Linked DNA regions of Nothobranchius furzeri. The protein of the gene in region 1 binds, or shares a complex with, the protein of each later gene. Links are inferred from orthologs where the notes say so. Each region holds a gene or a part of one and is shown in the gene's direction. Other genes may lie near its edges. The genes, in order: ints4, ints11, ints2, ints9, ints6, ints7 and ints12.

The links.
Region 2: the proteins of ints4 (region 1) and ints11 are in contact, whole or in part, in a cryo-EM structure (PDB 7BFP), measured with the Homo sapiens proteins. The link is inferred for Nothobranchius furzeri from reciprocal best matches to the Homo sapiens genes INTS4 and INTS11. Residues at the interface, in NP_291025.3 of Homo sapiens: Leu159, Asp161, Thr162, Arg167, Tyr203, Gln207, Asp244, Ser292, Gly294, Trp296, Arg299, Lys323, Met326, Ser327, Asp328; in NP_060341.2 of Homo sapiens: Pro183, Trp191, Lys194, Asp212, Gln288, Gln400, Gln404, Lys462, Met465, Ala466, Leu469.
Region 3: ints4 (region 1) and ints2 share a complex: the UniProt entries of both Homo sapiens proteins name them as parts of the integrator complex. The link is inferred for Nothobranchius furzeri from reciprocal best matches to the Homo sapiens genes INTS4 and INTS2.
Region 4: the proteins of ints4 (region 1) and ints9 are in contact, whole or in part, in a cryo-EM structure (PDB 8RC4), measured with the Homo sapiens proteins. The link is inferred for Nothobranchius furzeri from reciprocal best matches to the Homo sapiens genes INTS4 and INTS9. Residues at the interface, in NP_291025.3 of Homo sapiens: Leu53, Gln54, Leu57, Gln58, Arg61, Lys62, Pro86, Ser87, Leu90, Lys91, Ser94, Gln125, Gln129, Asp132, His164, Gln207, Asp208, Pro209, Arg210, Arg212, Asp244, Tyr245, Glu246, Gln247, Trp296, Phe837, Gly840, Leu841, Val842, Val843; in NP_060720.2 of Homo sapiens: Lys2, Tyr4, Lys18, Ser21, Thr22, Leu43, Val44, Gln45, Glu87, Glu89, Leu90, Asp92, Asp97, Thr122, Glu145, Arg146, Val147, Pro148, Lys159, Glu174, Ser176, Thr177, Ser192, Gln195, Phe206, Gly207, Ile379, His380, Ser384, Asn385.
Region 5: ints4 (region 1) and ints6 share a complex: the UniProt entries of both Homo sapiens proteins name them as parts of the integrator complex. The link is inferred for Nothobranchius furzeri from reciprocal best matches to the Homo sapiens genes INTS4 and INTS6.
Region 6: the proteins of ints4 (region 1) and ints7 are in contact, whole or in part, in a cryo-EM structure (PDB 8RC4), measured with the Homo sapiens proteins. The link is inferred for Nothobranchius furzeri from reciprocal best matches to the Homo sapiens genes INTS4 and INTS7. Residues at the interface, in NP_291025.3 of Homo sapiens: Glu536, Met539, Asp540, Arg571, His572, Ala574, Tyr575, Asp578, Ser579, Ser610, Phe613, Arg620, Leu624, Leu627, Gly631, Glu634, Leu635, Phe638, Arg641, Asp642, Arg645, Leu646, Glu648, Leu649, Gln650, Lys677, Leu678, Trp679, Asn680, Val681; in NP_056249.1 of Homo sapiens: Lys137, Asn138, His140, His141, Arg144, Gln145, Gly175, His205, His206, Asp207, Ala208, Ser244, Ser245, Leu246, Val247, Lys282, Thr283, Pro284, His285, Thr286, Thr321, Ile322, Lys325, His326, Gly686, Tyr689, Glu704, Gln707, Gln708, Leu711.
Region 7: ints4 (region 1) and ints12 share a complex: the UniProt entries of both Homo sapiens proteins name them as parts of the integrator complex. The link is inferred for Nothobranchius furzeri from reciprocal best matches to the Homo sapiens genes INTS4 and INTS12.

What each region holds. Positions count from the first base shown.
Region 1 is NC_091753.1:58,549,107-58,553,063, forward strand, and holds the start of ints4 (integrator complex subunit 4), read left to right. Parts: upstream 1-1,157; 5' UTR 1,158-1,230; coding exon 1,231-1,284; intron 1,285-2,005; coding exon 2,006-2,200; intron 2,201-2,298; coding exon 2,299-2,416; intron 2,417-2,535; coding exon 2,536-2,642; intron 2,643-2,968; coding exon 2,969-3,083; intron 3,084-3,460; coding exon 3,461-3,546; intron 3,547-3,624; coding exon 3,625-3,675; intron 3,676-3,752; coding exon 3,753-3,841; intron 3,842-3,957. UniProt on the Homo sapiens protein: Component of the integrator complex, a multiprotein complex that terminates RNA polymerase II (Pol II) transcription in the promoter-proximal region of genes.
Region 2 is NC_091755.1:39,105,287-39,108,786, forward strand, and holds part of ints11 (integrator complex subunit 11), read left to right. Parts: intron 1-368; coding exon 369-507; intron 508-579; coding exon 580-644; intron 645-1,032; coding exon 1,033-1,222; intron 1,223-1,302; coding exon 1,303-1,386; intron 1,387-1,462; coding exon 1,463-1,552; intron 1,553-3,500.
Region 3 is NC_091750.1:42,407,117-42,411,309, reverse strand, and holds the start of ints2 (integrator complex subunit 2), read left to right. Parts: upstream 1-1,393; 5' UTR 1,394-1,467; intron 1,468-3,167; 5' UTR 3,168-3,182; coding exon 3,183-3,475; intron 3,476-3,560; coding exon 3,561-3,699; intron 3,700-4,193. UniProt on the Homo sapiens protein: Component of the integrator complex, a multiprotein complex that terminates RNA polymerase II (Pol II) transcription in the promoter-proximal region of genes.
Region 4 is NC_091742.1:17,904,515-17,907,601, forward strand, and holds part of ints9 (integrator complex subunit 9), read left to right. Parts: intron 1-670; coding exon 671-791; intron 792-1,266; coding exon 1,267-1,401; intron 1,402-1,472; coding exon 1,473-1,584; intron 1,585-1,668; coding exon 1,669-1,849; intron 1,850-1,990; coding exon 1,991-2,051; intron 2,052-2,363; coding exon 2,364-2,535; intron 2,536-2,617; coding exon 2,618-2,742; intron 2,743-3,087. UniProt on the Homo sapiens protein: Component of the integrator complex, a multiprotein complex that terminates RNA polymerase II (Pol II) transcription in the promoter-proximal region of genes.
Region 5 is NC_091754.1:31,095,990-31,099,945, forward strand, and holds the start of ints6 (integrator complex subunit 6), read left to right. Parts: upstream 1-1,156; 5' UTR 1,157-1,383; coding exon 1,384-1,494; intron 1,495-1,632; coding exon 1,633-1,710; intron 1,711-2,198; coding exon 2,199-2,348; intron 2,349-3,956. UniProt on the Homo sapiens protein: Component of the integrator complex, a multiprotein complex that terminates RNA polymerase II (Pol II) transcription in the promoter-proximal region of genes.
Region 6 is NC_091742.1:7,888,369-7,892,422, reverse strand, and holds the start of ints7 (integrator complex subunit 7), read left to right. Parts: upstream 1-1,254; 5' UTR 1,255-1,374; coding exon 1,375-1,468; intron 1,469-1,609; coding exon 1,610-1,739; intron 1,740-2,026; coding exon 2,027-2,173; intron 2,174-2,266; coding exon 2,267-2,404; intron 2,405-2,500; coding exon 2,501-2,547; intron 2,548-2,622; coding exon 2,623-2,822; intron 2,823-2,909; coding exon 2,910-3,032; intron 3,033-3,106; coding exon 3,107-3,224; intron 3,225-3,333; coding exon 3,334-3,468; intron 3,469-3,613; coding exon 3,614-3,711; intron 3,712-4,054. Other genes in the region: dtl (denticleless protein homolog), read right to left, coding at 592-652. UniProt on the Homo sapiens protein: Component of the integrator complex, a multiprotein complex that terminates RNA polymerase II (Pol II) transcription in the promoter-proximal region of genes.
Region 7 is NC_091746.1:80,674,993-80,679,024, forward strand, and holds the start of ints12 (integrator complex subunit 12), read left to right. Parts: upstream 1-1,232; 5' UTR 1,233-1,359; intron 1,360-1,614; 5' UTR 1,615-1,622; coding exon 1,623-1,778; intron 1,779-2,803; coding exon 2,804-2,953; intron 2,954-3,165; coding exon 3,166-3,347; intron 3,348-3,459; coding exon 3,460-3,619; intron 3,620-3,698; coding exon 3,699-3,848; intron 3,849-4,032. Other genes in the region: gstcd (glutathione S-transferase C-terminal domain-containing protein), read right to left, coding at 445-858. UniProt on the Homo sapiens protein: Component of the integrator complex, a multiprotein complex that terminates RNA polymerase II (Pol II) transcription in the promoter-proximal region of genes.

The sequences.
Region 1 (3,957 bases):
TGACCTTGAATTTTTTTAAATAAAACTTTTATTTAACAAGACGATTTACAGAAAACAATTCTTATTTTCTCTACTGTCCTTTTTGCTTTCCTTGACGTTAGATGTGTGCGTGCGAGCGTGCGTGTGTGTGTGTGTGCGTGTGTGCTCTATCTTCTCGATCCCCAGTGAGTCGTGGAGGATGGCTGCTTATACTGAGCCAGGATTCTCTGGAGGTTTCTTCCTGTTAAAAGGGAGTTTTCCTCTCCACTGTCGCTGCATGCTTTCTTAGTATGAGGATTGCTGTATAGTCACTGACACTAGTCAGTGACTTGATGCAATTTGCTGGGTTCCTTATATAGGAAACATTATTTTCTGATTGGCTTAATGACCTGACCTGGATTGGAATGTTTATTATGTGAAGTGCCTTGAGACGACTCTTGTTGTGATTTGGCACTATATAAATAAACTTGAATCGAATTGAATATTGTGGTGTTTGTGCAAATAAAGAAAAATAAAAAAAAATCTGAGAAATATGCTTCTTTGTTATTTTTATACACATTTATACACATTTTGGAATGTTGTCAGTTAAAATATCTGAGATGTATGGAAATAAGTGTAAACATTCAAAAAGCCAATATCTTGTTGTTTTGTTTGCATATCGAATTATCTTATCTAAAAACATTCAACCTGCTGAACTTTGAAAAAGTGTTCTTTGTTTACCACGCATAAGATCTAAATAGATTTAAATAAGTAAGATTTCATTAATAAGGAAAGACAACTTTCACAGCCATTTTCATAATAATTTACTCATTATTATTTTTCTATTCTAAAGTTTTAATCTGGTTTAATGCAAACTAATTTATTTATAGTCCATCTTACTTAATAAAGTCAAAATTAAAACTATTGTTATTTCTTAAATTTTATTGTAGTTGCAAACTGGCAATGTTATTCGTAAATAATCATCTTTATATCAATAGACAAAGCAAAATCACTTTAAATCCCGTAGTAGATTTATAATTGTAGTCAAAATGCAAATTTACTGTCGTGTGTGTGTGTGTGTGTGTGTGTGTGTGTGTGCGTGTGTGTACGTGTGCGTGTGTGTGTGTGTGTGTGTGTGTGTCTGTGTGTGTGTGTGTGTGTGTGTGTGTGTGTGTGAAGAGGCATTTACGAAACGCGTTTGATTAGACTATCCGTAGTTACGGGAAGCGTCGAGGAACAAACTTGCATGTTTGCTGGCGTAACTACGTTAAAATGGCAGCTCATTTGAAAAAGCGAGTTTATGAGGAATTTTCTAAAGTAGTCCAGGTGAGAACAAATAAATTATCTTTATGTTGTTTACGTTTTGTTCAGCTAAAAAGAAGAACAAGCGTTCAACTGAAATTTGGACACACTTGCTAAATAGCTGCTAAGCTAACGTAGCACAACAACATACGTTCGCGTTGGGAGGGTTTGTTCTTAATTTGAGCATTTAAATCTATCATTCGTTTTTGTTACGAAATGTCGTTTAACAATATTCTGGATTGCAGCGAGTTTGAAATCTAAAACCGAGCTTGTTAGCTTCCGTCATGCTAGCTCCTGCTGACTCAGATTTTAGTTTGTAATTTGTTTTTTTTACATGTTTATTTGTGCACAGAGGTGCTATTGCATTCTTTTGAACGATACCTGGAGATCTTTGTCAATTACAGTAAATCAAACTCTTCACTTTGAAAACCAATGAAAGTGCTGTTGGGTGCAGAAGTAGATCAGCTGTCATGTGTGGGTTCTTGCTGTTTTCGTCCCAATAGCCCGACTCTCAGGATCTTCTTACTTTGATATGTAAATCGATTATTTCATAAGTTAGGATAATCATGTTAAACCCCATACATATACAAAATAATCAATAGAAATTTAAAAAACATCAGTAACATATTTGCTGCTGAATAATTTAACACAGAAAAAAACGTTTAGTGAACAGAGAGGTCATTTCCTGTTTTTTTGTTTTGTTTTGATGTTACTTTGCTTCTCTGGCTGTTTTGTTCGTTTGCAGATTCCTCATGAAGAAGCTCAAGCCAAGAAGCTGCGTCTGTCCAAACCCAGCAAGTCGGCAGCGCTGCATGTTGACCTCTGTAAAGCCACCAACTCCACCGACGCCCTGCAGTACCTGCTGCAGTTTGCCCGCAAACCTGTGGAGGTGGAGAGCGTGGAGGGTGTTATCCGCATCCTGCTGGAGCACTACTACAAGGTACGGCTCAGAGTCCTAGCATCCAGCACATTTGCTTTACCTGAAGCAGAGATGAACACACTAAGCTCATCTAGATGATGACGATGTCCTCCTCTCAGGAGACGGATAACTCTGTGAGGCTGAAGATCGCTTCTCTGCTGGGTTTGCTATCCAAAACAAATGGCTTCAGCCCCGACTGCATCGTTGATGATGCCATTAACACACTCGGCAACGAGAGTAAGACGTGTTTACACACAGATTGGTTTACATTTTATTTTGATCCCTTTCAGAATTAGTATCTTATTTGTAACAGAGGCTGACCGTGTTCATTCGTGTTTCTTCTTGTGCGTGTGCAGAGTCCCACCAGGTCCTCGCTCAGCTGCTGGACACTCTGCTGGTCATTGGGTCACAGCTTCCTGAGAGCCCAGCAGTTAGACTGAGGCTCATCGAGGTGGCCTGCAAGGTAACATGAAGTACACAGTAGGGCTTCTACTGTCAGTGTGGTTCAGGCATCAGGTCAGAATGCCTCCAGGCACGTCCGTCCAGTAGGAGGCCCCGGGGTCGACCCGGGACCTGATGGAGGGATTTTGTCTCCAGGCTGACTAGGAAATGCCTCGGGGTCCCACTGGTGGCGTTGGTGGAGGTTGCTGTGGAGAAGACAGTATGGGCTCCCTGCTGGAGCTGCTGTGACCTGACCCCAGATAAAAGAACAGAAATGAACAGAGCTGTTGAATAACAAGGCTGCTGCCTTGCTGCTCAGTAAAATTCGGTCTGTTTCCCTCCTGCTAGCACCTGTCTGACACGTATTTCGGGGTGAGGAACAAATGTCTGCAGCTCCTGGGATGTCTCGGCCTGGTGGACGCCCCTCTGACTAAAGACAGCAATGGACCGAGCTCGTCTTCAGGTTCGAGTCGTCGTTTGTGTAAAAACTTGTTTCCAGAGAACCTGACTTTATCTTTTAAAGGGTTCCTGAACAGGATTTCAGAAGTTTAAGATTAATTTTAGGCGATAAATCTTGAATCAGGACATCTGAGAATGGTCGGGATCTGGACCAAAATCAGTTCGACGCTCACAGAAAGTCTCTAAAAGACTTGAGAAACATCAGTTTGTCCTAAAATAGTTTCTAGAAATACCAAGTGTGTTTGTTCTACCACCTTTACAAAATATATGTATGTAGAATTAATTCAAACGGCAGCTTTCATTTAATTAAATAATGTTTGGAAATGTCTCCCAAGATTATCTTTTAAAAAGTCAAGTTGTGAGTTTAGCGTTTGACTTCAGGAGGAGCGAGGGATGTTCAGAGTATCATCAGTAACTACTTTGCCGACCAGGACCCCCGAGTCCGAACTGCAGCCATCAAAGCCATGGTAGGACACAGCGGACCACAAATCCTTGTCCCGATCCTCGCTGAGCGGATTACACAAGGTCTTATTTCTGTCTTCCAGCTGCAGCTTCATGACCGAGGGATGAAGATCCACCAGATCATCTACGATCAGGTCCAGCTGTTGTTGAATCTTCTCCAGAGGAGTGGCCTTAGAGTGTACTAACGCTGCGTTTTCCTGTGTGCCTGCAGGCCTGCAGGTTGCTGTCGGACGACTACGAGCAGGTTCGCTCTGCAGCTGTGCAGATGGTGTGGGTTCTCAGCCAGCTCTACCCAGAAAGGTGAAGAAGCACTTACTCCGTTGTAGGGCTGCACGATATTAGGAGAACCTGCAATATTCCATAATGATTAATATTGCGATGACGATATTACTTGCGATAAATAAAAACTTAGCTCG
Region 2 (3,500 bases), on another chromosome or scaffold:
TAGATTAGTTTCACCTTTTCAGTTGAATTAATTACATAAATGAACTCCAGCATCATTTTCCAATTGTTCGAGTTCCTCCTGTAGACGGTATACTATACGGTGATGATAAAAAAGCTTTCCTCTGTAGAACATTCAGCTGCTTAAAGTTGGGCGTAAAGTTTGGTTTTGTAATTTTCAAAGGAAATTTGAATTAGTAAAACTCAGCTTAGTACATCAAACATTTCTGAGGAGAGAGCTGCATTTATTTTTCAAGACCAAGAAGTTGGAAAATGACCCAAAAACTACAGACAAGTGAAGACGTAGACAGACCTAAACCTTAGCACACATAAAGACACTGCCTTTGCAATCTGAGTTGTTGTGTTTTGTAGAGCTGCCTGGATCGATAAGTGCCGTCCAGACATCCTGATATCGGAGTCGACGTATGCCACGACCATCCGTGACTCCAAAAGGTGCAGGGAAAGGGACTTCCTGAAGAAAGTGCATGAATCCATAGAAAGAGGAGGAAAGGTACTTTTACAGACTTAATATTTTACGCGTAAATGTAAAGATACTTTCTGAGTTCTTTGTTTCCTTTGCAAGGTTCTCATTCCGGTTTTTGCTTTGGGACGAGCACAAGAACTCTGCATTCTGCTGGAAACATTTTGGTATTTTTTAACACAAGCTTCATCATAACTTGTATTTTATTCTCTGCATTTGCCGTGAAACTGTTGAGATGTTACATTTGTCGGGGCTAGGAAGTAAAGTGCATGCAGCGATGTGAGGAGATAAGTCCAGGTAAGGCAGGGAAGCTTTATTTGTGTAGCACATTTCATTCACAGACGCAAGTCTAAATGACGTTAGATAAAAAGCTAATTTTCTGCCTCGTGGTTTCCGGGGATCGAATTAGATCAATTAAAACCTTTCAGTGTAAAGTCAATGCACGTAATTATAACACAGAAGGTCACATTTTTATTTCAGTAACAGTCGTAATTATTAAATTAGGCTTGAAATAATAGCTTGTTGATGGGCTAATTGGGTCCTCTCGCCGCGCAGGGAGAGAATGAACCTAAAGGCCCCCATCTACTTTTCCACCGGGCTCACGGAGAAAGCCAATCATTACTACAAGCTCTTCATAACGTGGACAAACCAGAAGATTCGGAAAACCTTTGTGCAGAGAAACATGTTTGAGTTCAAGCACATCAAGGCCTTCGATCGCTCTTATGCTGATAATCCAGGGCCAATGGTGAGTTTGCTATTTCCTTCTAACCTTTGTTTGTTTTAGAATTTAAAACAGTCCCTGATGTGTGTACCGTCTGTTTCCAGGTGGTGTTTGCCACTCCGGGTATGTTGCACGCTGGTCAATCTCTGCAGATATTTAAGAAATGGGCTGGGAATGAGAAGAACATGGTGAGACTCTCGTGGTTCCAAACATCTTTTGGTGTTTTTAATCAACACTTTAGAATAAAATAGTCTTTTTCTGTAGGTAATCATGCCTGGGTATTGTGTACAAGGAACTATTGGTCATAAGATCCTGAATGGACAAAGGAAACTGGAGATGGAAGGAAGAGCAACAGTAAGATTTCTGTTTTGAACTCAGTTGTGTTAGACCAGGATCTAATCACTAGGGTTGAGCCGGATACTCGTCTCAGTGTCCGGTACGGATAAAGCTTTTTTCACGGGTACCAGTAAAACCCGTGAATATCTGTGTCCATGCTGAAGTAAAATCCTCATTGGGTAACTGACTGTCTTCACGCTCTGTGATTGGCCAGTCACACTGAGCGCCTGCCCCTCTTTGCAAACAAAACCATCAGATGGCCCGCAGCTGCTGTCACACACACACACACACACACACACACACACACACACAGCGCTCCGTCGCGCATGATTGGAGTGGATGGTTTTATACGAGCCACAGATCTAAGTTGTGTGTTTATCAATGACATTTTCGTACAATATAGTCTCACTAATAAGCGCCAATGGAGCCAAGCTCCGGTGTGAGTTAACGTGATGATCCTGTCTAACGGGGACGGCGGGGAACCAGGACTCGACTGAGGAAATTCCCAGTCCGGTCGATGTTTTTTTCTAAACCCACAGGTGATAGAAAATAAGATGAAATAAGCCTGAATATTTTCTCCCGCTGCTCAGCTCTGTTAGAAATACGCAGGTGTCTGCTTAAGCTGGACAATATCAAGTATAACAAGGTGTTCACAGATAATTGATCTTTCATGAAAAATAATATTAATCCTTTTTTATTTTCTTATTGATTTTATTTCATTTCTAAGGTTTGGATGCCTCTGAACATTACAGAATTTTTTTTCCTCTCTAACACTGTAGAGGTCTTTAAAAATCATCTAAAAACTCACCTTTTCATCCAGGCGTTCCCTCCCTAAATGTTCTTAAAGACGGCTTTGTTCGGGTTCACACCTTCACTTTGTTTATACTCATGATTTTATTTTCTACGTTTATCACTGCTATTGTTTTTCTGATGTTTTTATTGGTTAGAGGTATTTGCCCTGATCTTTATCATGTTGTACAGCGCTTTGTGATTTATATACCAATTACCAATTTTATTTATATAGCACATTTAAACACGGCATGAGAGCCGACCAAAGTGCTGAACAAAACACACAATAAAAACAATCAAAAATAAAAACTAAATCCATTAAAATCAAGTAATCCAACCCTAAAAGGAAAGGTAGAAAGGGAATAAGTTAGACAGAATTAAAAGCCAGAGAATAAAAGTGAGTTTTTAAACGAGACTTAAAAAGGGAAAGAGAGGAAGAGAGTCTGATCGGGAGGGGCAAGTGGTTCCAGAGCTTCGGTGCACAAACTGAAAAGGCGCGCTCCCCGCGGGACTTACAGCGAGAGCTAGGGACATGTAGGAGGTGTTGGTCAGCTGATCGGAGGGATCTTGTAGGGACATATGGGTGAATGAGCTCAGACAAGTAGCCAGGTGCTAAGTTATTTAGGGATTTAAACACAAAAACCAGGATCTTAAACTCTATCCGGAGATGGATGGGGAGCCAATGAAGATTTGCTAAAACCGGTGTGATATATCTGTGAAAGGCGCTATATAAATAAACTTTTACTTACTTACTTACTTACTTACTAATATTAATAACAGGTCATGACCTAAAGTGGGTCGGTCTGAGGTGTAAAACTGTCCTGGACCTAAAAGCCTTGCAGAAGCATTTTGTTTCTATATAAACACCAACAACAAATAAATAACAGCAGCTGAATGTGTCTGCATACCGCCCCGAAAGTAGGCAGTTGGGCCCCTGACACACACACACACACACACACGTACACACACCTTGTTTTGTTTAACTTTGTGTGGGGAAAAATGCCAAGAACGTTAGAAAAAAAATTTTAATCTAAAAATAATTTAAATACAAAAGTTTTGTTTTATTCTAGTAGTTCATATTTCCGACTGCATGTGTACAGTTGTATTCATTCATGTACTTTAATGTTCAATTCTAGTTTATTTATAAAGCGCCAAATCACGACTATATTCACGGTCC
Region 3 (4,193 bases), on another chromosome or scaffold:
CTCTTTCGGCTCCCAAGTGGCTCCTCAGATTTTCAGTTGCGTAGAGTACATTTATAACCAAAATAATGCAAAACTATGTGTAAAATGATTTACTAAATTTAAAAAATTCTATATATCAAATATTTATCATTTCTATGGATTTAATAACTGAACACTTTCAGAAATCTCCACTTTCCGACTGCTGGCGCTCATTTTCTCACCGTCTTCGTCACACTCTCCTCTCTCTCTCTCTCTCTCTCGCCATTTTCCTCCTCCTCATTCCCTCTCGTCTCCCTCCGCCCGCATGTGCTCTGCTGTGTGTCTGAGTCTTATCCTCCCTCTTCCCCACCCCTACTGCTCTGTGTGTGGACAGTCTGGACACGCAGTTACACATCTTGACCAATCACCTGTGGCTTTCACCAAAGCAAAAGGGGAGGGGGGGGGGGGGGGGACGGCTCCCAATGACGAGCCGGCTCCCGTCGTTCACTTCAAAGAGCCGGCTCTTAGAGCCGGTTCGTTCGCGACCGACACATCACTAGTGCCTTTACTACAAGCTCAAACTTTATTGAACAAAACACCCTGTCTCCCAGTCTTGACGTCATCAACCCCTGCCACCAAAGAACATCAGCTAAGGCAAGATAACAAACTCAGTCCATTGAATACACCATAATAATAACCATTCTGTCCTGTTTTGTTTCATAAAAAACTGAAAAACGTAAAATGTGAATTTATAATCTTGTTGAATAAATCAAACTGTTGGACTTTATATCTCTTGGCTCTGAAGCATTAGAGTACATAGGATAAACATATGTGCCTTACCTGGGTATGAAATTTAACAAAACTGCCATATTCTGCCCAGCTGCGTGCATCAGGTCTGTTTCTTTTATAGAATAATGGAAAATGGTGAAAAATTGGTCTAAATCATAATCAGCTTTAACTTAATTTTTGATAAAACGATACACATTTAATCTGAAGATGAGAGATATGATCTAACGTGTTAACAGCCTTAACCTAGGACAGCCTAATAATTAAGTAATAAGATAACCCCAAACGAGCCAAGAGATAAAACGTCAGTCTACATTGTGATAAAATGCAACAAGATTTATTACAAGTTCACATTTGATGTCTTTCAGGTTCTTTTATGAAAGAAACTGAAACTGGTTTGTTGCTAAATAGGAAAGGATGTTTATTATAGCGATGAGTTCACATTTTCTTCAAAACTCCTCAAGATCTGGCTGTAAACATAAAAACCTGCAGCGAGGGAATACAGCGTCCTCTTAAATGAAATAACCAATCGTAGGGGAGCCCCTTCCAACCAATCAGAGGCGAGAAAGGCGGGACCTTGTTTGATGCTAATTGAAAAAGCCAATCATAATAGAGCCCTTCCAGCCAATCAGAGGCGAGAAGGGCGGGATGTTCCTTAGACATCCTACGATTCCAAATGATACTGCTCATCTCGAACACCTGGTCAGGCTGGTCAAATCAGAGGTAAGGCCTCGATGGTCACGTTCCTCTGTTAGGCACCGAATCGGTTTATCGGGGTTAGGTAATATTAAATTCAAACATTACTTTAACTAGAAACATTTGTCAGTGGAGGCAGCCCGTAGTGTATCAGATAAGAGTAATAATCTCCATCAGCTAGCATTAGCATCCTGTTAGCATGTTAAGACTCGCATCAAAAGTACTAGATAGCTAACAGCTAGTTAGCTAAACAGACCATGGCACGTCCGGGGAACTAGTGTTTAAACTGTGACCCATCTTTGAAAACTCCATTTACTCCCAAAATGTTAAACATGAATGAAGTCTCTCAACAGAAAATAACAAGATGCACTTGTCCTTCTGAAGAAAATCGAGTTTCCTGCACAAGGATGTAGTCTTCCACCAACACTCAGCACTAGTGATGGATCAGTCAGGAACGAAATGGCTCTTTATAGAGTCTCACTGAGAGGGTAGGAAGCAGCGTGCTTCATATCAGAAGTCTCCAAAAGCAACCTTGATCATGGTCGCCTTGGTTTACCAACTAAAGGACAGTAAAGACCTCTCTGCACATCTTTGACCCGCCCACATGGAGAAGTGTGTGTGAACATGTGGAAAGCCAGATGTTAGCCACAGTTCTCTATAGACAGTGGTGATGTAGAGCAGTTTTCCTAGATCTGAGAAAAGCCTCAGATACACCTTTATGTTTATTTTCGATTTCCAGTTTTTTCTTGTTTAAAACACAGAGTAGCAACATTTTATACCTTCATCTGCTGACAGTTTCGCCCAGGGCGAGGCGCTTAAGATGGCAGCTGTGTGACACCGAAACTGTCAACAGATGAAGGTAATAACTTTGCTACGCTGTGTATTAACTAAGAAAAAAACTATGAAAAGTGAGTCACGAGATGCTAACTCGTGGGGGGTGGATATCATAGCCGTGGCTCTGCGTTGAACCTTTGTTGGGGGAACACTGAAATGACCCACTCCCCATTTGCTAAGTGCAAATCCTCGTCAACACACGCAAAAACAAATGCTATTCAGACGGAGAAAAAGCAGCTGGGATGAAATATTGTCCCGGTCTGTCCCTGACACTCGCCCGCCCGCCTACAGCTACAGAGTAACTCACTCTGGTTTTACTCACTGGTCTAACCTCTCCATCGGCTAGTTAGAACTTTAGAACGGTGCTGGTTTAAAGAAGTGATCGTCTGAAAAGCCTCGCCGGTACTGGTGGTTGTTTAAGAAATCATGGTCACAAACACATGCTTTGTTTTTGAGAGGTCCTGAAGATATATCCAACCATTTCTAACCCTACATCTTTATTTCTGGGTTATAGGTAGCATTTAAAGGGAAGACTAGATAAGAAATAAATAACTTCTTCAAAACTGTGGAGATTAAACTCTCTGCTAGTTACACACAGAGTTTGTGCTTACAGTCCAGGAGAGGTGCAATCCAGAGTCAACACTACCTGGATGTGGAGGAGTGGGGCATAATGACGGAAACCTCCCCCATCCAGCTGGTTTTAAAAGCTCTGGTGAGAGGAAGCTGCAGCTGAGATGAGAAAGTTCACGTGTGAACCCAAAAACTGCTTCGGGGATGTTTTTCATGAGAAAATGATGTCCTAGTCTCTCTAAAGTAGTTTAAAAAAAGCTTAGTGTGTCAGTGTTTCAGCTACAGTCTGAGCTCACTTGGTTTAATGTGTGTGTGTGAAACAGGGTAAAGGCAGAGAGATGGCAGACAGCGCAGGGCTGCAGTTTGTCAGTTCTTTTGCATTTGAAGCCATGCAGAAGGTGGATGTTGTTCGCCTGGCGGCCCTCAGTGATCCAGAGCTCCGGCTCCTACTCCCCTGCCTGGTGAGAATGGCCTTATGTGCTCCTGCAGATCAGAGCCACACCTGGGCTCAAGACAAGAAGCTCATTCTCCGGCTGCTTTCTGGAGTGGAAGCTGTCAACTCCATCGTAGCACTTCTGTCTGTGGACTTCCACGCACTGGAGCAGGACGCACGCAAGGAGCAGCAATTCAGGTAGCACCAATGATCTGGTTAAACATTGGACAGCATCAATGTATAATTGTGCTTGGTGGTTACAGTATTGTGTCTGCCCCACCAGAAACAAGGGAGGCGGCTCCAATGGAGAGAGCTTCCTGGTGTCACAGCTTCAACATGGCCTCACCTTGGAGTTTGAACACAGCGACCCCCTCCGTAGGCTACGCCTGACCCTCAGCGAACTGCTGGTCATCATGAACAAGGTGCTTACACACGCCGCAGCATGTCACATAAGCTCTAGCCCTAACCCCCCCGGGGGTCTATTGTTTAAGGAAAATATGTAAAAACCTTCAGGGTTTCCCCTAGAAGTGTGTGTGTGTGTATGTGTGTGTGTGTGTGTGTGTGTGTGTGTGTGTGTGATCCAGGTAGAGCTGGGCGCTATGGACCAACAATCCCTATCTTTTACTTCTATCTTTATCTTTCACTATACAGACTAGAGGTCGACCGATATTGTTTTTTTTTATTGCCGGTACCGACACGAGGCGGTTGTGGTCAGCCGATAGCCGATAAGTGCTGCTGATTTCATGGCCGATTCAGGGTTTCCACTATGTGTATTTTGCTCCACGGCAAAATAAAAGCCGCCACACCTTCAGAAGGATAAAAAAAAATAAAAAAATAAAACAACGTACCTTCAGAATAAATTAATTTTTTGGATATACATTAAAACAATGTAAATACGAGACATATATAGTCTATA
Region 4 (3,087 bases), on another chromosome or scaffold:
TTCTAACGCTGCTCCTGCATCATCAGGGTTCTAACGCTGCTCCTGCATCATCAGGGTTCTAACGCTGCTCCTGCATCATCAGGGTTCTAACGCTGCTCCTGCATCATCAGGGTTCTACTGATGCTCCTGCATCATCAGGGTTCTAACGCTGCTCCTGCATCATCAGGGTTCTACTGATGCTCCTGCATCATCAGGGTTCTAACGCTGCTCCTGCATCATCAGGGTTCTAACGCTGCTCCTGCATCATCAGGGTTCTAACGCTGCTCCTGCATCATCAGGGTTCTAACGCTGCTCCTGCATCATCAGGGTTCTAACGCTGCTCCTGCATCATCAGGGTTCTAACGCTGCTCCTGCATCATCAGGGTTCTAACGCTGCTCCTGCATCATCAGGGTTCTAACGCTGCTCCTGCATCATCAGGGTTCTAACGCTGCTCCTGCATCATCAGGGTTCTAACGCTGCTCCTGCATCATCAGGGTTCTAACGCTGCTCCTGCATCATCAGGGTTCTAACGCTGCTCCTGCATCATCAGGGTTCTAACGCTGCTCCTGCATCATCAGGGTTCTAACGCTGCTCCTGCATCATCAGGGTTCTAACGCTGCTCCTGCATCATCAGGGTTCTAACGCTGCTCCTGCATCATCAGGGTTCTAACGCTGCTCCTGCATCATCAGGGTTCTTCCTGGGCCGCTGAAGGAAGCTGTTGACGTGTGGACGTGGAAACGATGCTACAGCATGCATGAGGTCAACTCAGCTCTCAGCAAAGTGCAGCTTGTCGGTTATTCTCAGAAAGTGGTGAGTAGGGGTGTGTGTGTGTGTGTGTGTGTGTGTGTGTGTGTGTGTGTGTGTGTGTGTGTGTGTGTGTGTGTGTGTGTGTGTGTGTGTGTGTGTGTGTGTGTGTGTGTGTGTGTGTGTGTACTGGCACCATTTCTCTGGACATTGATACAGATTTGTATGTGAGGCTGTAGCCACACTGCTCATGTTTTTGCTCAGATAGAACCAACCGTCCTCATCATTGTGGGACCCACACAGCACCACTAGGGGGCAGCATCTGTTTTGAACAGCACAAAATACAAAGGAAGAACATTTTGAGCTTTCTAGTCATGCTTGTGTTTTGTCTGTACATGATTTAAATTGGTAGAGAATGGTTGTTTTAGAGTACAAACTAGTGTTGCAGGCAGCTCGGTCATCATTTCTGTTACAAAGTTCAGATCAAATTCCTGCTCCCCTAAAGCCGTGTGTGGACTAGAAACCAGTTTTTCCTCCTCAGGAGTTGTTTGGAGCTGTTCAGGTCTCCCCGTTGAGCTCTGGCTACTCGTTGGGAAGCTCCAACTGGATCATCCAGTCCCATCACGAGAAGGTGTCTTACGTGTCTGGGTCATCCCTCCTCACCACACACCCACAGGTAGCTCAGCTTGAATCAGATCATGGTACACGTGAGGCTTGATGAAACCTGAAATGCGTTTTCTCCTCTAGCCGATGGATCAGAGCTCGCTGAAGAACAGCGACGTTCTCATTTTGACTGGCCTCACACAGATGCCCACTGCTAACCCAGATGGCATGCTGGGAGAGTTCTGCAGCAACCTGGGTGTGTTCAGATGCTCAAAGTAAACCGTTCTTCCAGCTTTTAAATCCAAAGCATGAGTGTGTTTGTGTTTGTGTGGACCTGCAGCCATGACGATCCGGGCAGGAGGCAACGTGCTGGTACCGTGTTACTCCTCAGGGGTCATCTATGACCTGCTGGAGTGTCTGTACCAGTTCATCGAGAGCGCCAACCTGGGGACCACACCCTTCTACTTCATCTCTCCTGTAGCCAACAGCTCGCTGGAGTTCTCCCAGATCTTTGCTGAGTGGTGAGCAGCTGCTCCTCTTCCCCTCTGAACCGTAGCCCAACAGCCTTCACTGTTTCACACGTTTCAGGAGGATTTGAAATCCGATGAAGAAAGCCACAGCCTCTCTGTGACGCTCTGGTTACTTGTGCTTGATATTTCCAGGCTTTGTCATAATAAACAAACAAAGGTGTATCTGCCAGAGCCGCCGTTTCCACATGCAGAGGTGAGAGCTGCTGCTGCGGGATTCAAACTCTCAGTGAAGAACAAACGTTTCTAAATGAAGTCCAGCCTTCTTTGAACAAATGCACGTTTCCTGTTAATCCATAGGGCTCTCTGGGTTTGTGCTTATTTTCTCTCAGCTACCTTCACTTTTAGATCAGAATCAGAATTATCCGTCTTTATTATTGAATAGCTGTGGCAGCCATCTTGTTTCATCTCCTCAAACTTAGTAAAAAAAAAACAACCTTGGTTGTGTTTTGTGAACCTGCTCCACCTTTTGATGACCGCTGGTGTAAATTAGCTGTTGATGTTTCAGCTGATCCAGACCAACAAGCTGAAGCACTACCCCAGCATCCACGGGGACTTCAGCAGCGAGTTCCGGCAGCCGTGCGTGGTCTTCACCGGCCACCCGTCTCTGCGCTTCGGGGATGTGGTTCACTTCATGGAGCTGTGGGGCAAGTCCAGCCTGAATACAGTCATCTTTACTGGTAACCATCACACAGACGCTTCTGTGTGGTTCTGGAACAAGAACACAAACACAACCCTGTAACGTCTTCTTCTTGTCATCAGAGCCAGACTTCTCCTACCTGGATGCTCTGGCCCCTTATCAGCCGTTAGCCATGAAGTGTGTTTACTGTCCGATTGACACGCGGCTCAACTTCCACCAGGTGTCCAAACTGCTGAAGGAGGTCCAGGTAGGCTGCCTGCGTTTGTCCTGACACACCAGGGACATGTACACTCGTCTAAACAAGGGCAGACCGTTCTCGACACCATCCATCAGCTGGAGATCAAAGACTCCACCTGCCTGGTGATTTATGCCACTGAGCAAGGCAGCCAGCCATATCGCCATAAATCCGTCCTTTTTCTTCAGCTGTTTCTCAGAATACATATAGAATCGAGTAATCTGATTACTGGACCAGTAGTCAGAGGGTTGTAGGATTGATCCTGGTTCCCAGCAGAGAACTCTGCTGTTGTGTCCTTGGGCAAGACACTTAACTCTCCCTGCCTGCCGGTGGTGGTCAGAGGATGCCGGCGTATTG
Region 5 (3,956 bases), on another chromosome or scaffold:
TCAACTAACATGCATATTTTAGGCCTACAGAAGGAAATAGTATTACCTGAAAGGCCACCGCCAGGATTTGAACCTACCTTCATGCTGTGAGGCAGCAGTGCTACCAAAATCGCTACCATGCAGACTGAAGAAAGAATTTTTGATGTCCTACCACAGGATTACTTTTATTTTGAAAAACGTGTCAGTAACAAACCGGATGAACTATGTGCAGTGCGATAGGACGACAAAAATAAGATAGACCATCCTTCCCTCTGCGATCACAGCCACTGGTTGGTTTCGTCTTGTTTTTGCGGAAGTGTTGATGTTTTTGATCGAGCTGCACTATCTCACTCAGTGTCATGTGGCATGAAAAGTGAACCATAAACAGGATGGTGACACTAATATATCTAGTAGTCTACAGATAATTGTTTATACATATAATCAACTTAAACAGCTCAAAAGTACACGCACAATGACTTATTTGGTGTCTTGATTTTTATATGTTAGTTCAAAAACTGTAAAAATAACCCTTCTGGTCGTTTTGTTAGTTAAAATCTTTTATATGATCATCACACAGTGTCATGATTTCAGTGTGTTGTTTTCCTTTTCTCTAAACAAATGGCTACCTTCCTTAAGTTATAATCTTACAACATCCATCTCAGCCTGTACTTTTTATTTTGTCTTTATGGGTTTCCATTCACACTGGCCCACGCCCGTGCATATATGAGGAAAATGTTGATTATGCAATCACTCCGCAGGGCAAAACACAAGGCTGTTGATAACTGGTGCTAAAGAAAAACAGCTGGGGTGTTCCAAAAAGGCTTTTCCTACCACATGTGTCGCGTTACTAAACACAAAATGTATGTGAATAATATTTTTCCCTGCATTCCTGTCATTTGGTTAAGCAAGCATGCGCACTAGAGAACTAGCTTTGGCCTTATTTGGATATGTTAATAAGTGGCTTCCTTCAACCAATCAAAAGCTGGGTTGATTGCACGTGACAGAAAAAGAGCGCTTAGGAGGCGGGGTCAGGTGCGGGGCTTCATTTAAAAGCAACGGAGAAGACACAACGCATTCAGTGTAGGGAGAAGCAGGGAGTCACTATGAGGGGGAACTTTGTTACTATGAAACTTAGGAATATTTACAATATATTGTAAAAATTATCAAAATCCATCGTAAATCATTAACCTGCCCCAAGGTTTCGAGGCTTTTAGCTTAGTTTTCCCGGAATGGGCTTCTATACTCACTATTCTTACACTTTTTTGAAAGAATGTGTGAGACAGTTAGCCAGCTAGCTAGCTAGCTGAGGGGTGAGACAGGCGGCAGGAGAACAAAAGATTTTTTTTGCGTTTTGGCCGGTTGTACTGACACCAAGTCCATGCAGAACGTGTCATTACCATCACAATGCCCGTTTTACTTTTTCTGATAGACACGTCCGCTTCAATGAACCAGCGCACCCATCTGGGCACTACCTATCTGGACATAGCAAAAGGCGCTGTTGAGACTTTTATGAAGGTACTGTGACCACGGGACACATTCATGTTGGGAGATCCCAAACGGGATTCTAGTTCGGATTATCGTTGTGCTGTTGCAAGTTCGCCTTGTCAAGCCGAGATCTCCCAGTAACCGTAAATCATTCTCTATTTTCCACAGCTCAGAGGGAGAGATCCGGCGAGCCGAGGGGACCGGTACATGCTGGTAAATTTTGAAGATGCTCCGTTCGGGATCAAGGTAGAATCTGCTTTCGGGTCATGTCCAGCTTTACATTGCGCAGATTGACTGTCCTCCATCTCCCCGCCGCCTTGTGATCAATTGTTGTAGAGAAAATCTCCAGGAGGAGCTTTCATACCCCTTTTAAAACATGGCCGACATTTTATTTCAGTGCGAGCAGCAAGGAACTCTGGGTGTTATTTATACAGAGAGGTGATATGAGAGAGGGAGGGAGGTGGAGGAGGAGGGGTGACGGACAACTAGACTACTTTAGCAGAGAGAAAATTGCCGCTTTTGTCCCGAACACGCTGCGACCGTGCCACATCGTCATGTGTGATCCGAGCTGGTGTCACACCAGCAGCAGAGAGGATCCAGGCTGCGGCGCTGATCTTCATCCCAGCTAAATATCATCATACTTCCACATTAAAGCTGGAAATAAGTTATTTAAAGTAGTTTAGTGACCAGAACAGTAGCTTTTATGAATCACGTGCTTTGTTTTGTCCATAAAGGCTGGGTGGAAGGAGAGCCACGCCACATTCATGACAGAGCTGAGGAACCTCCAAGCTACTGGACTCACCACTGTTGGACAGTCCCTGAGGACATCTTTTGATTTACTCAATCTCAATAGATTAGTGACTGGCATAGACAACTATGGACAGGTATGTAGTCCCCTGGAAATGTACTAAACGCACCCACAACAACCCCACTCCCCTGCCCCAGTCCTACAAGCATCTACTACCCAAACACACCCCTGCAGTCACACACAAACATAACTACCAAAGAAGCAGGGACCGATTATAAGTCCAGTGTTTCATGCTATAATTTTAAAATGTCTTTTTAGTCATAAAACTTAGATGCAGGTTGCAAAGAGGCTAATCTCATATGCACCAGATTATATTTCTGAAACAAAATCTAGCATAAGCCCATCTACTTCAGGACCACGGGGCCCCGGAAGAACGAGAAAATGAGTACAAGTCAATGAGGCTAAAAATGCTATTTTCTGATCCCGTATGGTTTTCACAAGACATCCGTGAAATTTAACATTTTGATGCCAAGAAAGCTCTTATTTTCAAACGAGGGCGAAAGTTATTTTAGGTCTTGTGTGAAACGTTCAGGACTACAAGTACGCATTACGAATTGACATCGAACCAGACATGAACAGAAAAAATGGCTGTACGTTCTGCGAATGTCAAATCCTTCTTTCAGGAGGAAAGAACTACTATAAATCTGGCCATGTGAGAAGTAGCAGCTACGCTAGGGGAGAGGATATTCTGTGATGACATCATATACGATATGCGGTGTACTGACGTCTGATCTGTAGTCCTAGTATTTACGATAAATCTCAAAACACGTGACAGGCGTGATCCAAACACATCAATACTTTTCATTGAAATACAACATATGTGCGATCCAGGGCGTAAAGCAAAGCGGATTAGAAAATAGCTCTTTAAGTCCCGTGGACTTGCGTTCTTTTTTTGTTTTGTTCTTCCGGGAACCCATGAGCCGACCGGAAAACTTAGACTCCATGTTGTTCTAAAAGTTAATATCTTCTGGCACATGGATGCTGAACTGCTATCAATTTGGAGAATTATTAGACTGAATCCAATTTAAAATAGCAGAAAACAAGTTTCATAATGAGTGTTAAATGCTTTAACACAGATGAGAGCTTGTTCTAGTTTTTATATTTAGGAAAATCTACAGTTTCACCTAAAAGTCAGCAACACAAGCCAAGATAAGTTTCACTGAAACATCAGGGTAATTAAGATTTTTCTAAAGAGAAAATAAAACAATATTGAGAAATAACAAGTTTTCGTTTATGAATGTGTGAAAACGTTCCAAGTAGAACGGACAAAAACCAGTTTCCAGTATGTTGGTTTCACTCTAAACTCACCAAGCCCACGACACCTGCAGGCAATTCAGCGTTTCAGGCAATGTGCCCGATGACATCATCGATTTAGTTAGTTTATGATTTGGCTGTAGCTGCTCAAAGTGAAGCCATGTGGGGGGGGTGGGGGTGAAGTGTAGACAGCTGTTTTAAAGCTTATCTGAAACGTGTCAAAGTCTCCATTCATCACAGTTCCCACCATTTAGTAAGATGGAACTGAGGATTTGCTTTTATGTTTTCTCTGGAAGGAGGAACAGAAAAATCTGTTTAGAGAAGAAGTCCTTATTTGTGTTAACCTTCACGTTGTCCACGGTATAGCTAGCTTACGCGGTAAGTTTCACGCCTGGTGCTGGAACTCAGTCTGGGCTTTTCTTTGGAAGCG
Region 6 (4,054 bases), on another chromosome or scaffold:
AAGGCTGTACCTGCCCTTTTAAGGTATGTGAAAAGCCAACGTATATAAATGCAGTGATCAAAAAGATCTGCAATGGGAGTGGTACCGGTTTGATTCCTGCTCACTCCAAACTGCCTTTAGGCAGCACACTTCACACACCTTGCTATTTCACCTCTGTAAGTCGCCTTGTATAATAGTATAATGCATAAACATAAAAAACACCGAGAACGAACACAAAGAAACACAAAAAAAGGATTTTTAGCTATTTCACTCTTTGCTGGTTATTTTGATGGTGATCACAGATAATGTTAAAGCTCAGCTAAATAAAAGTTTAGTTAGGGAATAATTATTAAATTGTGCTGGCATAAAATGTTTGAAAATACTAAAGAAACCGCAGGATGACGTAGCATTTACGTCATATGCTGATTTCAGTTGGCTTTTTGAACATTTCTTCTCTCAAAGATAAAGAACCAGAACGAGACAGCCATCTAAGATTAAACAGCTATATAGATTTTTCTATGCCAAACACAAAGGTTGATTTTTTTTCCCTATCAAGCTAAAAGCTACCAGCAGTTACAGATCTCAAAGTCCCCTAAGCGCATCGTGGCTCACCATTTTGCCTCCGTCGACCCACTTCTCTGTCAACAACAGAACGGAAAAGCACTCCCATCATCCAGTACAGAGACGATCTGAAAGAAACACTTAGAAGTTGGTCAGATCGTGAACTGGGGGTCTCCTCTTGTCTGTAGCTGCTGATTATATTTCCCGCGTATTGATCAACTAAGGGGAAGAACCAAATTACGCGCGAAGCGTTTTATTCAACTTCTATTGGCACGTTGGTGCCGCGGTTCAAAGGTCGACTTCCTTAACGGGATCGTTTCCGCTTCTGCTTCCTTTCAGGGGAAAATCCTTCAAAATAAAAGAACCACGCAGGCACGTAAACAAAAACAAACATGCGAACGACAGCATAAAAAAATACACGAAGATCACTGAGATGGAGTCATCGACGACCAAGCAGAGCTTTTTACTAGCCATGAAAAAGTATAGAAACACATATGGTTAAATAATAGCATTTTTAAATAAACCACAAATAATGATCTGTATCAGTCGAGAAAACATTCTCTCTATTTGAAATAACTGCAGAAACTCTTTTTTAATGCAATCTATTTATTTACACCACGGTAAATAGATAACCTAATTTAATTCAAGATTTTTATCTTTTGAAATAAATCAAGCATTTGTGAGTTGTGTCATGTGAAAATTTTCTTTGAAAAGCACCAGACCGGATATAGTGTTACTGTAACACAACAATGCTACTTAGCATCGCCTGAGCGTTGAGAAGATAATAGGAATAGTCATTTATTATACCTCAAATATTAACCGAAATTTTAAAAAATGTCACTTTCAACAGCGCGATCATTTCTATCGGAGGCTTGTTATGGGGAGCAAGAACTAGACGCTAATTCCGCTCTTATGGAGCTGGACAAAGGTGCTAACCAGTTAGCATAATGCTAATTGTACTGTGGTGCTGTTTTATGTGTTTATTCGATTTTTTTTTTGTTCAAATTCGATCAGTTATTGGAGGTTTGTCCGTCTTATTTTGTGACTAGAGCATTGTTTATAATTTCAGGACTGCGGTCAGGGAAGCCAGGAGAGCAGTGTGAAGCGGTGGTGTTGTTCCCCAAACTCTTCCAGAAGTACCCCTTTCCCATCCTAATCAACTCAGCCTTTCTAAAACTAGCTGATATCTTCAGGCTCGGGTATGGAAGCATCAATATTATTAGTCCATAGTTGGTTATATGCTAATTTATTTTATAGATTGTCATTACTCCTATTAAAGCAACATAACCATATTACAAAGTCAATGTTCATGAACATTAAAGCAGCCAGTACTCAGAAATGCAACAGTTCACCTTGGCCTCAATACTTAAATCACTCAAATGTAATTAACTTATTTTCTGATTATAAATATTAATTTTATTTATCTACAATCAGTCTAGCAGTGTCCCAAACGTGTTCATCTAAAGGTGCCTGTTTTTCTGCCCAGCAACAACTTTCTGCGTCTGTGTGTGCTGAAAGTGACACAACAGAGCGAAAAACACTTGGAGAAGATCCTCAACGTTGATGAATTTGTTAAAAGGGTGTTTTCGGTCATTCACAGTAATGACCCTGTGGCCAGAGCCATCACTCTGAGGTAAAGAGGATATGCTCCAGAACACTTATTTACAGCCCTCTTTTTGACACCCAATATGTAAAAGAAATTATTTTCTGTTTTTTTTTTATTCAGAATGCTCGGTAGTTTAGCGTCCATTATCCCAGAGAGGAAGAATGCCCACCACAGCATTCGACAGAGCTTAGACTCTCATGACAATGTGGAAGTGGAGGCTGCTATTTTCGCTGCTGCGAGTTTCTCTGCACAGTCAAAGTAAGGGAAACCGTGGCTGGAATGAAGCCCTCATGCCAGAAAATTGGTGGTTTTGCAAACATTAGACGTTTGATTTTACTGTTTCCAATGTTGCAGAGACTTTGCAGCTGGAATTTGCAACAAAGTCAGCGAGATGATTCAAGGTAGGTTTGCTTGAGGTGAAAAGATCATCACACACACACAGTCATGGTTGTCTTTTTAATTATTTGCATTCCTAGGTTTGGACACTCCGGTTGAGCTGAAGCTGAAGTTGATCCCTATGCTGCAGCACATGCATCATGATGCCAGTTTAGCATCCAGCAGCAGAGAGCTTCTGCAGCAGCTGGTCAACTCCTACCCTTCCACCCCCATGGTCATCGTTTCTCTGCACACCTTTACCCAGTTGGCTGCCTCCTCTCTCATCGATATCCCCAAGCAGGTAGTGTCATGTACCTGATTCAGGTTGTGCATATCTGCTTTTATCCTGAATTACATCAAAGTTACCGATCCACCTCCGTTCACCCAGTTGGAGCTCCTTCTTCAGTATCTGAAAGATGATCCGAGAAAAGCTGTAAAAAGACTCGCAATTAACGACCTAAAGCTGTTGGCTAAAAAGGCACCTCACCTATGGATCAGAGAAAATACTCAGGTAGAGATGCCGACAGTAAAATATTCTTGCAGCTGTTAAATCTGCACCGAGTCTAACAAAGGTCGTGTCTGCAGGTGCTGTGTGAGTGCGCTCTGACCATCCCGTACAACAGTCTGAAGCTGGGGATGTTGGCTGTCCTCTCCACCCTCTCTGAAACAATAGCAATCAAACAGTATTTCAGTAACGCAGCTGGTGAGTGTTATTTTTGTTTCTGCTGTTGTGAAATCGGTGTATTCATTTATTTTTTTCACGTGGAGCAGAAGAATCACTTTGAATCAAGTTGTTAAAACTTTCCTGTCAGGTGGTGCTTCAGTTCCCCCTCGGCTCACTGACCTGGTTAAACTGGCACAAGAATGTTGTTACCATAGCAACCTGGTAGTGGCTGCTCACGGGGTCATTGTGCTGTGCAACATCACGATTTCCTGTTCGGAGAAAGGTTAGTTCCTGTGGACAATGGCCTACTTGAGGGATTTCTCTAACATCACTTCCTGTCTGTTGTTTAATCTCAGCGTCTCTTTGACTCGGTCTGTTCTTGTTTTTTTTAATTGTTTTATTGTTATTTGTGGATTTCTTGTCCTCAGACAGCGTTCAGCTGGAACAGGACACGGTTTTGGGAGTGGAGTCCCTCCTGATGCTGTGCAGTCAGGACAGCAGCTCCAGTGCCCAGGCCACTCTCAAAGTAAGACATGAGTAAATAGACAGCAGTAGCTCAACAGGTTGAGTAGCGGGTTGTCCAGTAATCGGAAGGTTGCAGGTTCGATCCCGGCTCCGGTCAGAGAATTCTGCTGTTGTGTCCTTAGGCAAGACATTTAACCCACGTTGCCTGCTGGTGGTGGTCGGAGGGACCGGTGGCGCCTGTGCTCGGCAGCCTCGCCTCTGTCAGCGCACCCCAGGCCAGCTGTGGCTACATCGTATCTCATCACCATCAGTGTGTGAATGTGTGTGTGAATGGGTGAATGATACACTGTAGTGTAAAGCGCTTTGGAGTCCTTACTCTGAGAGGCGCTATACAAGTGCTGGTC
Region 7 (4,032 bases), on another chromosome or scaffold:
ATTTAAATGTGCGTGTGTGTTCCTGATCTACTTAATAAATGTTTAAAAACATTCTTCTTAACTGAAGTATTTTTTGTTTACCCGTTTTTATTTAAGACTTGGTCAGTTTATGATTTGTTCGATTACCTTTGGCTAAATGTTTGATTTTAATACGAGCGGTGCAAAAAAAATTAAGATACAAGAGTTGTTTAAATTCAGAGTTCAACAACGGATCCATGTTCAGAAACGTTGTGCATCATGTTTTTGTCAGTGACATCTAAGCATGCAAATAAGGTGGAAAATGTCGAGTTATCGGCCGCGAACATCGGTAGCAAATATCGGCCATCAGCTGACCATGACCCCCATATATCAGCATCAGTATCAGCATCTGAAAACCCCATATCAGTGGATCTCTACACCTGATTTCCCCAGACACCCAAAAGCTGACGCTTGTCTCCCACTGACCTCCGCACAGGCCTTCAAGCAGGTTTTTTTGAAACCCAGCAGCTCCAGAACATCCTTCCTGGAAGGGTCTTCCTCAGTGGTTTTGATGATAATGTGCCTGAGCACCACGGCTAGTCCTGCCCTGCACAGGCGCCCGCTCTCATCCACCGCTGCCGGGAGACGGCAGCTCCTCACCAGCTGGGGCAGATCCTCCAGCTGGACCCAGCTGACACCAACAGGCACTGGGAGCTGGCTCCTGAAAGCGTCCGAGCAGCTACTGGTGTAAACCATGAACACTTTGAAGGACTTGCACTCGCAGTATGATAGGAGAAACATAACTATGGACGTGTGCAGGGGGAGACGCAGCTCCTCGTTCTGGGAACAAACCTCTAAGAAGAGGGAGAGATGTTGCTCTTTTTTCTCGTTGTGCTTCATTGTAAATAAACTAGAAGGACAGTAAAACAATCAGTTAGTTTTATCATTGTTTTAGTGTTCTCTGTTGGTACTTTTACGTCTAGATTACTTAAATTCAACATATGACCCAAGAAAAATGACTTACCTGAAACAGGCGGACCGGTGTGTTTTGGTGATTCTTCTTCTGCTGTTTTTTCACTAGCATAGCTCCACAGCGCCGCCAGCGGTCTTCTCAAACGTTTCAAAACTCTCTTCATGAAAGAGTAACACCTATGTACAAAATATGTACCGCAAAGGAAAACATACGTGGGATGAATACTTATTTTATTATAACCAAAATAGTATAATAACCACGCGAACGCGAATACAAATTTCGCAAAACGTTCCGCCCTTGCAGACTCCGGACATATTTGTCGGTTACTCAAATGTGAAGACGAAACGCCGACGGAAGTGTTGCTCAGTTTTCCGTTGTTCAATAGAAAGAAAATATTCCGGTAAAACAGAAAATACACCCAGTCTCGGGTAAGCCTGTGTTTATGATAATTATGAGCTTCAATTTTAGAATTATAAAGCGACCTCGGTAACTACCGCGGTGCTTCTGTGGTTGTAGTCCGTCTTCCTGTTTTTACTCAGAAACCAAATATTTGCCAATGTTTAAAGTCATTCACAGCAGTTGGATCGGTGGGACTCGGCTTATAGGCGCCGGCAGTTCTTTTTACTTTGATGAAATGATACTAATTCACAGCATTACGTGAATTGTTATTGTTTGATTTCTAGTGGAAGCGATGGCTGGACCTGTCAGTTTGGAGCTGGATCCCATCTTCCTAAAAGGACTGAGTTATCTACATTCCAAGAGCAAAGATTCAGCTGAGAAGCTCAAAGCTCTACTTGATGAGTCCCTTGCTAGAGGCAGCGATTCCTCTTATCGCTCTTCACAAAAAGTAAGATAATTCATTCTCATATACACTCACCTAAAGGATTATTAGGAACACCTGTTCAACTTCTCCTTAATGCAATTATCTAATCAATCAATCACATGGCGGTTGCTTCAGTGCATTTTGGGGTGTGGTCCTGGTCAAGGCAATCTCCTGAACCCCAAATGCCACGGGCTACCTGAGCATTGTTTCTGACCATGTCCATCCCTTCATGACCACCTTGTACCCATCCTCTGGTGGCTAATTCCAGCAGGATAATGCACCGTGTCATAAAGCTCCAGTCATTTCAAACTGGTTTCTTGAACATGACAATGAGTTCACTGTACTACAACGGCCCCCACAGTCACCAGATCTCAACCCGATAGAGCATCTGTGGAACGGGAGCTCCGTGCCCTGGATGTGCATCCCACAAATCTTCCATCAACTGCAAGATGCTATCCTACCAATATGGGCCAAGATTTCTAAAGAATGCTTTCAGCACCTTGTTGAATCAATGCCACGTACAATTAAGACAGTTCTGAAGGCGAAAGGGGGTCAAACACCGTATTAGTGTGGTGTTCTTAATAATCCTTTAGGTGAGTGTAGAGAAATCCCCTTAAAGAGCAAGTCACCCCCTACCAGAGTCTTACTCCACTCCCACTTCCTGTTTGAAAAATGCAACAAATGCTGTTACCTGGCAGACCGAGGGGGTGGAGCCACTAACAAATACACACACAGGCTCACAATGACTTTGTGACATCATAATGTACTTCTTAGACAATAGCAATGGCAGAGTTTTTACCTGAAGACGACGTAACACTGACAGTTTTAGGCAGATTATTTAAATTTATCTAAGATGCACCAAAGTGCCAAGTTATTGACTACAAGTGTCTACAGCATGATTAGACACTCATTTATATAGTTTATCAGCAAGAAAGAAATTTGGGGGGGGGGGGGGGGGGGGGGGGGCTGACTTGCTCTTTAATGTCATTCGTATGACATTGTTTTAAAACCAAGTGCTTGTGCCTTCTGTGTGATTGTTTTGTCCTCAGGAGGTGGAAGTGTCAAAGGCATCCGTGTCAAAGCTGAGTTTAAGTAAAGAGCCCAAGTCTTCAAGTTCTTCTTCTGGCAGCAGCGGTGGAAGTAGTAAATCCAGCTCAGAGAAAGGCAAGAAAGAAGGCGAGAAGAGGTCATCAGAGAAGGTGTGGAAGACATTTTTCCAATTTTTACTAATGATCCCAGTAATCTGTGTCGTGTTGCTGTTCAATTGGGAAGTAAAAGTGCACAAATGAATGAAAAGTGCATATTATATAACTCTAAAGCTTTAAAGCAGAATCCGATTTAAATATGTGATCAGGTGTTTTTTGTTTGTGTGATTTAGTCAAACTTCCTTTTGTATTTTGCTGAAAAACAGGCCAGGGTTGACGTGAGCGAAGTGGACCCCCCCAAAAAGCCTCGTTTAGAGAAACAAGAGAACCGCTCCTCTCCAATCACATTTCAGACGAGCAAAGACCTCCTACCAAACATAAACGACTACGACGAGACAAACGCTGACGACTTTGCCATGGAAATGGGTCTGGCCTGCGTGGTTTGCAGGTACGAGTAGCCAATCGTGTAGATTTGTCAGCATGTTATTCCCTCAAATTAATCAGATCACCATTTTAAGCAGAAATTCAGTCTTTTTTTTTTAAATAATTAATTCTCTCAGACAAATGACGGTGACCATGGGAAACCAGTTGGTGGAGTGCCAAGAGTGTCATAATCTCTACCACCAGGACTGCCACAAACCTCAAGTGACTGATAAGGAAGTGAATGACCCACGGCTTGTGTGGTATTGTGCCCGTTGCACCAGGCAAATGAAACGGATGGTGAGGAAAATCAAGTCACGATCCTGCATCACCTTTTTAATGATGAACTAACTTGTTTGTTTGTTTGTTTGTTGACCAGGCTCAGAAGCCTCCTCAGAAACCATCCCCTGCATCTGCATCTTCAGCACCGGTTGTTAAAGACCCGCTGGTGAAAAAGACAGAGCTGAAGGCTAAAACCGATACAACCAGCACCTTCCAGGCCTTCAAGAGGACAGAGGTGAAGGTGTGTGTGAGTATTTTAATTAAAAATGACATCCTCAGTCTTGTTTCTACTAACCAGTAAGGGGTTTAGAGGTAAGAAAAGCAACAGGAACAGTTCCTTTTCTTTCCTTAATTGTTTAGAAGATTTGTTTCTGCGTTTGGATTCAGACAATATGGCAGTTTTAGTGTCAAATATATTCAATCTTATTAGT